2 linked regions of the Pelodiscus sinensis genome follow. The protein of the gene in region 2 interacts with the protein of the main gene of each other region in a pairwise test. Links are inferred from orthologs where the notes say so. Each region holds a gene or a part of one and is shown on either strand. Other genes may lie near its edges.

Region 1 (3,748 bases), on a different chromosome or scaffold from region 2:
CATAGCCACTGACTGGGGCTAACAATGGCATTGACAGAACAAGAAAGAAAGAAGATGGCCAGGGAGTTACAGCATTGGGCAGACCGTCCGGAGATCTGGCTTGAAAGTCTGGCTCTGCCCAAGCAGCCCATGTAGCCTTGGGCAAGTTATTTAACCTCTCTGTCCCTCAGTTCCCAGTCTGCAAATTGAGGATGACATTTTCCTATCTCCCAAGGGTGCTGGCGAATAAATCCGTCAAGGTTAGGGGTGGGCACAAATGAGGGAGACTCCTCCTAAATACGTAACTCAATAGCTTCTTTGGGAGAAACTTCCAGCCCCTCCATGTATTTCACACCGACAAGCAGCCAAGGGTCCTTGAGATCCCTGAAAACTAGGAGGCGGAAAGTGTTCATTTTGCAAGTGAAACCATCTGCTTTCTTTTCCCGGCTGTGTCAAATCGCGGGCAAGGCGCTCATTTCAACTCCACCCCTGGTTTGGGTTGGGATTGAAAGGACCCACCGTGCAGCCAAAATGACCCGGAGGTGAGATGTGTCTCAAAGGGGAGGAGGCATCGTTGATGGCAGGCAGCTGAAAACCACCGATGGTTGGCGGCATTTAACCCGCACTGCACTACAACGTGGCTTCCTGCGGTGGGCAGCTGCAGATAGCACCGGGCGTGGCCTAGACTCTGCATTTGCAATGCAGGTGGCGGGATAGGTCCATGCTATTCTGCTCTCAGGACACTGTAAAATGAGTTACATCATTTTCCAGGGAGAGTCTCAGCACCTAGCAATAGAGATCCTACCTGAGGTGTACTTAGAGGGCAGAATGAGTGTCCTTGGGGCTAGCCCTTGGGATAGGCTTGTGGCAGAAGCATGCCTTTAGCAATCCAGCAACCGTGATGCCTCCTCCTTTATGAGTCAGGGTGGGCGATCTGTGATTGCTCCCCAGTGACGTTTGTGTTCCCTTGCAGGGTCTGGTTCCTTTTAGTGACAATCATAGAACTGAAAGAGACCTCAGGAGGTCATCAAGTCCAGCCACCTGCCCAAGGCAGGACCAACCCCAACTCAATCATCCCAGCCAGGGCTTTGGCAAGCCGAGACTTAAAAACTTCTAGCTATGGAGATTCCACCCCCTCCCTAGGGAACCCATCCCAGGGCTTCCCCACCTTCCTAGGGAAATAGTTTTTCCTAATATCCAGCCTAGACCTTCCACACTGTAACTTGCCCCTAACCCACTCGACACCTGTTTGGCTTTTTCCCTGTTTCCAACACACTCCCACAGGCAGCCTGTTTTGTGACATGCCCCCCCCCCATCATTTGACAAATGGAGACACGCAATGTGTCTGCATGGCTGCCGTCCCACCACATCGGCCGCCACCTGAGTCTGGCTGACACTTACAGAAAGGGAGCCATAGGGGAAAGTAGCTAGTTCAGGCCCACGACATGGAAAAGCAAACAGAAATGCCAGGGCAAACACAGCAAGCATTCTAGGTCAGTACTTCTGTGCTGCCGGCTAGACTTTTCTCGAGGCAAGAACTCTAACATGTTTCCTTCCCAAATCTCTGCCGCCGAATCTCACAGATGTGCTGATGCTGCACACTTTGCGACCCCCCCTCCCACCTCCCTGGGAACATGCCACCTACCTGAGGTTTCCTTTTTCCGTTTGGAGGACTTTTTCTCCGTTTCATTTGTCGTGGTTCCTGTGACTCCATAATCTTCATTCACACCCCCTGCAGCAGCCACTAGGTTTGGGCTGCCGCTTTCTAGCTCCCGTGCACCCAAAGCCACACCGGGATTTAGCCGCTTCCTGGCCTCAGACGCTGCAAAGTGCCAGTCCGAATGCTGGAAGGAAGGGTGCTCGGCGAACATGCGTTCCTCTCGGGGGAAGCTGTGAGGGGCAGTGGCCAGGCAAGAGGCTGAGAAATCGGAATACGCCGCAAAGTCGGGTTTTTGATGGAATGAGAATGGTGCTTGTGAGTAATGATGTGCCCCTGCTCCCGGGCTGATGTCCGAATGGGCATTCCGCAGACACCCCCACAGTGGGGGAGTGGGACAGGGGCTTCGCATGCAGCTGCTCCCGGAAGGATTCATTTGCTGCCTCTATGCCGCCCGAGCTGCAAGATTTGCACCTGAATCTGGCGCAGGCTTCAAGGATGCAAACTGGGTTTACAAAAAAAATACAGGTCCAAACTTCTATGGAAAACCACAATTGGATCTCCCACACCGCCTGCCCTAAAAAGTGGATTTTGTCCTATGGCAAATTTGTTTGTTTGGAAGCCCTGCGAAACTTCCACATAGTCCCAGCTGGAAAACACCAACCAGATCTCTGCCGCGATTGGCCTGAATGGTTTCCCAAGGCCTGCAGCTGCTTCCCTGAGAAATGCTGGGCCAGGGCGAAACACTTTTTAAATACGGTGCTGGGGAGCGAGTGACAAGTTTGTGAAGTGAAATGTGAGAGAGGGGAAGGAGGAGCAAACTTGCATCCACTCGGCCCCTCCAACCAAAGCAAAGCGGGCAACTATTAATCATCCGAAACCTTATACGCACGTCTAATGGGATTTGCAGATGGAGACTTTTAAAGAAACATTGTCTGTATTTTTTTTTTATAAAGGGAGAGAGCAGCACACAAAAAAGGCTTTAATGTTTCCCTGCACCACTATGAAGTTATTTTTATTGCTCTGTTAACAAAATTCCCCGAGTCTTGGATTTGGAAAAAGCCCTAAACCAGATCCAGAATTCAACAGATGTCAAATTCCAGGGACTAAAACAAGGGAGGGAAAGCAAGAGAGAACTTCACTGATTGCATTTGATTTAAGGGCCGATCGTAAGATAAAAACAAATTCAACCTGAGATTGTTCTCCAGGGTTTTGCAGATGACTTGTGTCAACGTTGTGCAAAGAGGGACTTGCAGCTCACAGCATAGAATCACCCCGTCGGGTGTCCCCCTTTCCAGCGGATTGTCCAAATGCCACTTTCCTCCAAAGACGTCTCTGGTTTTCGTGCCAATGGGAGACACATTTTTCATTTTTGGTGTTGAAAGTTTTTATAGGTTTTGTGAACAGAAAACAGATCTCCAGACCTTACAGTCGTCACAGTTGAAAGGATATTAGCAGGGAATCTGCTCTCCATCTCTTTCCCAAAGAGTATGAGGTGGCAGAGAAGGGTTAGGATGTGTCCTTCTGGAGTATTACCAGGGAGGGGAGGGATAGCTCAGTGGTTTGAGCACTGGTCTGCTAAACCCAGGGTTGTGGGTTCAATCCTTGTGGAGGCCGTTTAGGGATTTGGGGCAAAAAATGTGACTTGTCTTGTTCTTGTTATGTATAGAATAGTTCCCTCATCCTCTCACATGGGTTTCCCAGGGCCTTGCTAGATGGTTAGTCTAAAATAGCGATGGGCAACCATGTGTGCCCCTTCTCTGCTCCCCTCCCCCATACTGCTCTCATGCATGGGAACCCTTGGAGCCCCCTGATTGACACATGGGGACCCTTGGAGCCCCCTGATTGATGCCATGTCCCTGCTCTTCCCCCTCCCTCCCTCCCTCCTAGCATTTGAACAGCTGATTCACAGCATTCCAGCTCGGGGGAGGAGGGTGCAGAGTGTCAATCAGTGGATTCATAGCAGCACGAAAGTGCTGGGAAGCAAGGGGAGGAGTGAGAAGGGCAGGACTCCTGCGGGCGGGCGGGAGGAGAGTAGACCAGGAGGTCCACAAGCCACAGGTAAAGCCCCAGCAGGCCACCTATGGGCCGCAGGTTGCCCACCTCTGGTCT
Region 2 (3,748 bases):
GCGGTGGCTGGAGTCTCCTCCCCGCCTCTGCGCCCCCAGCCCAACCCTCCTCCATCTCTGCTGGGGGGTTAGAGCGTGCGGGGGCCCGGCCTCAAACTGGAGGGGGCGGGGGAAGATGCAGTACAAGCTCCCCCCTCCTCCCAGGGTCAGGCTGCAAATTTTACCTTTGCCCATGGGTGCATAACATCCTCGCTACGCTCTGGTCAAATTTCACAGGCTGCTCCCTCCCCCCGGGCATGGGCCAATGCAGCCAAGGCATAGCCACAACTTGGACGCAGAGTTGGCAGCCTCCTTAAAAGCCCCGCTCTGTGGAGAGAGGTGATTGCGTTGGACTCTCTTCCGGGCTTTGTTCATTGCTCTGTGTTTGCACGTCCTCCTAGTGCCCCTCCGCCCTGCCCCACTACACACCATCCCTGATAACTCGTGGGTGCAGAGACCAGCCTTGCTTGTAAAATAAGCACACAAGGTCGGTTCTAGCCCTCCCCAGTGCACAGGAGAAACCCACAACAACTTGAAAACAAGAACTCGTGAGGCTCTTGTCTAGAAGACAAAAGCCTCCCACCCCTTTTTATAATCTCAGGATTTTTAAGCCCATCCCATGGTTTTGGGAGCCCTCTGGGCCTTCTGGGTTTTGAGCCCAGGGAGGGGGCATTGCTGTGTTTTTCTCCCATTGACTTCAGTGGCAGTGGGATCACGATTTACGCCTCCCCGCTTTATCCCCTCCCCACCATCAGAACCTAAGCAGGGCCCCATTAGTCACTCTGGGCTCAACTGCTCTGCAGAACTGGGGTTAGGTATTCGATTGAGTGGGTCTGAGGAATGGAGACTTCTCTTTGCAGGCTTGCAGAGAGGGGGTGGTGGGAGATGGGGGGCAGATCTGGGGTGGGGTTGGGCGTGGGGCACAGCAGAGCCTGGGAGTAGCAGGGTTTTGCCCTAACTTTGCAGCGAGTGCCACTGGTGGGTTTTCTCAGGTGCTTGCTATCACCACATTTACAACAGTTCCAAAGAAAGTGCCTAGGTGCTTACGGCCTCTCGCTGCCTGGCCAGTCATGCAGCCCTGCTGCCAGTTGACAAAGGCCCAAATGCGGGACGTGGTTCAGGGTGGCAAAGGCCCAACCTTAGGGTCATGCAGGAAATGCCCAGTATCATGCGATTTCTTCCTACAGGCGAATCCCCAGCGTTCCCTGTAAGCCGTGCGCCTCGGAGGCCACCCAGGAGAGATTCTGGGTGTCTGGCTGGTGAGTCTTGCCCATGTGCTCAGGGTTTAGCTGGTCGCCATATTTGGGGTCGGGAAGGAATTTTCCTCCAGGATAGATTGGCAGAGGCCCTGGAGGTTTTTCGCCTTCCTCTGTAGCATGGGGCACGGGTCACAGCTGGAGGATTCTCTGCATCTTGGGGCCTTCAAAGTATTTGAAGGCTTCAATATCTGAGATATAGGTGAGAGGGTTAGTCTAGGAGAGGTGGGGGTGAGATTCTATGGCCTGCACTGTGCAGGGGGTCAGACTAGATGATCATAATGGTCCCTTCTGACCTTAAAGTCTATGAGTCTATGAGATTCGCATGCTGCCCAGCTGATTAGCAGAGCTCCCCCAGTAGGTGTTTCTACTGCTGGTACACATCCGCACATGCCTCCGGGCACCGAATAAAATGTATTCCACACATGAGTAGAAAGAATTAGAGGGAACGGTGCTAACGGCTTTCTCCCCTCAGTGCTGGGATTCTGTATTTCTTCTGTGAATAATTCTCAGCAGTGAAAAGGAGGGGTACTGGATGGTTTTCGGAATGTAGGGCGTTTCGGGGGTGAGAGGAGTGATGCCCCTTGAAACGAGGTCTGTGTGGGAGGGATGAACACAATAGCTGTGCTAAGCTGTCTTGGAGATAGCTGTGTTAGTCTGTAGCTTTAAAAACAATGAGTAGTCCTGGGGCACCTTGGAGACTAACAAAATGTGTGTGTGTGTGTGTGTGTGTGTGTGTGTGTGTTATCAAGAGCTTTTGTTGGTAAAATCCACTTCTTAAGGTGGTATGTTTAAAGCAAACAAACTTGTTTTGTGATCTCATGTGCATTGTTATCTGGATTTGGTTGTATCAGTTTGTTCAGACTCAAGTGTCACTAACTTTATTTTGCTGTTTAATCAGAAGCAAGTCCTTGTGCTTAGAGCAGGGGTCAGTGAGCTCCCACTTCAGACTTTTACTCCTCAGTGGGGAACTGGAAATGATCCCTGTTTCTCTGACCCCACCCTCCTGCCGATGGGTGAGAGGCATGGGTGTGGAAGATGTGGGGACCAAAGACAGTGGCCTATTTGTTGCAGTCACTGATCGTGTGCACCTTGGCTCTAGGTTACCCAGGGTGAGCCCCCGCCGTGTGTATCTGCAGCTCCCACTGACTTCAGCCGGAGATGCCTGAAGGCCCGTCGGTGAAGAGGTTCCAGTTGCTCACTGCTCCTTTTGTGGGGCAGGTCGTGGCCAAGGTGGGAGGAAGCAGCAGGCAGAGCAGCCTGCAGGATCTGAAAGCAATGAGGCTCCAGGACTCTCAGGTGAGCTGTGCTAAAAGGCAGCCTTGTCGGGACACGTCAGCCCAGCCTCCCAGTCCTGCCTGAACCGCAGTGCTGGTGCAGCGGAGATGGTGGTGTTGGATTTGGGCCAACCACAGTAACATCAGAGAGCCTCTTGTGCTCAGTGGGAAACATGTTCTGTGAAACGTTTGTGGCTCTGAACAAGTGCTGTATAGGCAGGTTTAGACACTACCCACATGGCTCCAGGACTCATCCTAGAGCACTGGAAGGGACCTCGAGAGGTCATCGAGTCTAGGCCCCTGCCTTACCTCCACTGCTTCACCATCCGGAAGCCATCTCAGTTAAACGGGCCCAGGCACAGCCTGCTTCCTGAACCCCTGTCCCAACCCTGAACCTCCTCCTGCACCCAACCTCCTGCCCCAGATGTGAGTCCTCCTACACCCAAACTCCTTCCCAGAGCTTGCACCCTGAAGCCCCTCCTGGACCCCAATCTCCCACCCTGGGCTAAGCCCGGAGCCCCTCCAACAGTCCAAGTCCCTTGGCCCAAGACCAGAGCCTGCACCCCAACCCCCTATCCGAGTCTGGTGCAAGTGAGTGAGGATGGAAGAGGAAGGGTATGGAGCGAGCAGGGTGAGGCCTTGGAGAAGGGATGGAACAAGGGCCGGGCCTCAAAGAAGGGGTGGGAAGGAAGTGGGGCAAGGGTATTTGGGTTTGAGGTAGGTCTTACATTGCCTTTAAATAGAAAAAGTGATCTTGTGCTCCAGAAGGCTGGAGACCACTGCTGTAGCAAGACTGGCAAAGCGAATAAGACTTCACAGGATGTGGGCTTCTGCCCTGACGGAGCTGGCTCCTATCTCCCAGAAAGTCCTCCAGATCCCTCCCATCCCTTGCACATTTGCCCTGTGGGCAGTGAGGGCCCCTAATCGTAAAACATTCACTGCTTGCAAATGCTCAAGTCCTCCGCCGATTCCTCTGCCCTTCATTTTTAGGTGTCTGGAAAGAATTTATTCCTGGCATTCTGTGCTGCTCTGGAAGCCCAGCCCATGAAGGGAAGCCCATCCCCAGTGGAAGAAGGGCCAACCCCCCAAGGAAAAGCTGACAGCGGGGCATGCTCCCTTCGCCAGGCTCGGGAGAGAGAAGTGGATGATGTCTCTCTGCGAAGCTCTGAAGAACACAGCGTGCAGAGGAAGCAGGAACCTGAAGGCTCAGAAGCACCAGGGGACGCTTGGAAATGG

The links. The genes of interacting proteins can lie anywhere in the genome.
Region 1: the proteins of NEIL2 (region 2) and MEOX1 interact in binary tests that used the Homo sapiens proteins (3 or more experiments, as listed by UniProt). The two-hybrid records come from large-scale screens. The link is inferred for Pelodiscus sinensis from reciprocal best matches to the Homo sapiens genes NEIL2 and MEOX1.

The regions. Positions count from the first base shown.
Region 1 is NC_134739.1:7,788,841-7,792,588, reverse strand, and holds the start of MEOX1 (homeobox protein MOX-1), read right to left. Parts: upstream 2,407-3,748; 5' UTR 2,073-2,406; coding exon 1,625-2,072; intron 1-1,624. UniProt on the Homo sapiens protein: Mesodermal transcription factor that plays a key role in somitogenesis and is specifically required for sclerotome development. Required for maintenance of the sclerotome polarity and formation of the cranio-cervical joints.
Region 2 is NC_134713.1:2,405,898-2,409,645, reverse strand, and holds the start of NEIL2 (endonuclease 8-like 2), read left to right. Parts: upstream 1-835; 5' UTR 836-957; exon of another isoform or gene 958-1,166; 5' UTR 1,167-1,238; intron 1,239-2,337; 5' UTR 2,338-2,396; coding exon 2,397-2,534; intron 2,535-3,502; coding exon 3,503-3,748. UniProt on the Homo sapiens protein: Involved in base excision repair of DNA damaged by oxidation or by mutagenic agents. Has DNA glycosylase activity towards 5-hydroxyuracil and other oxidized derivatives of cytosine with a preference for mismatched double-stranded DNA (DNA bubbles).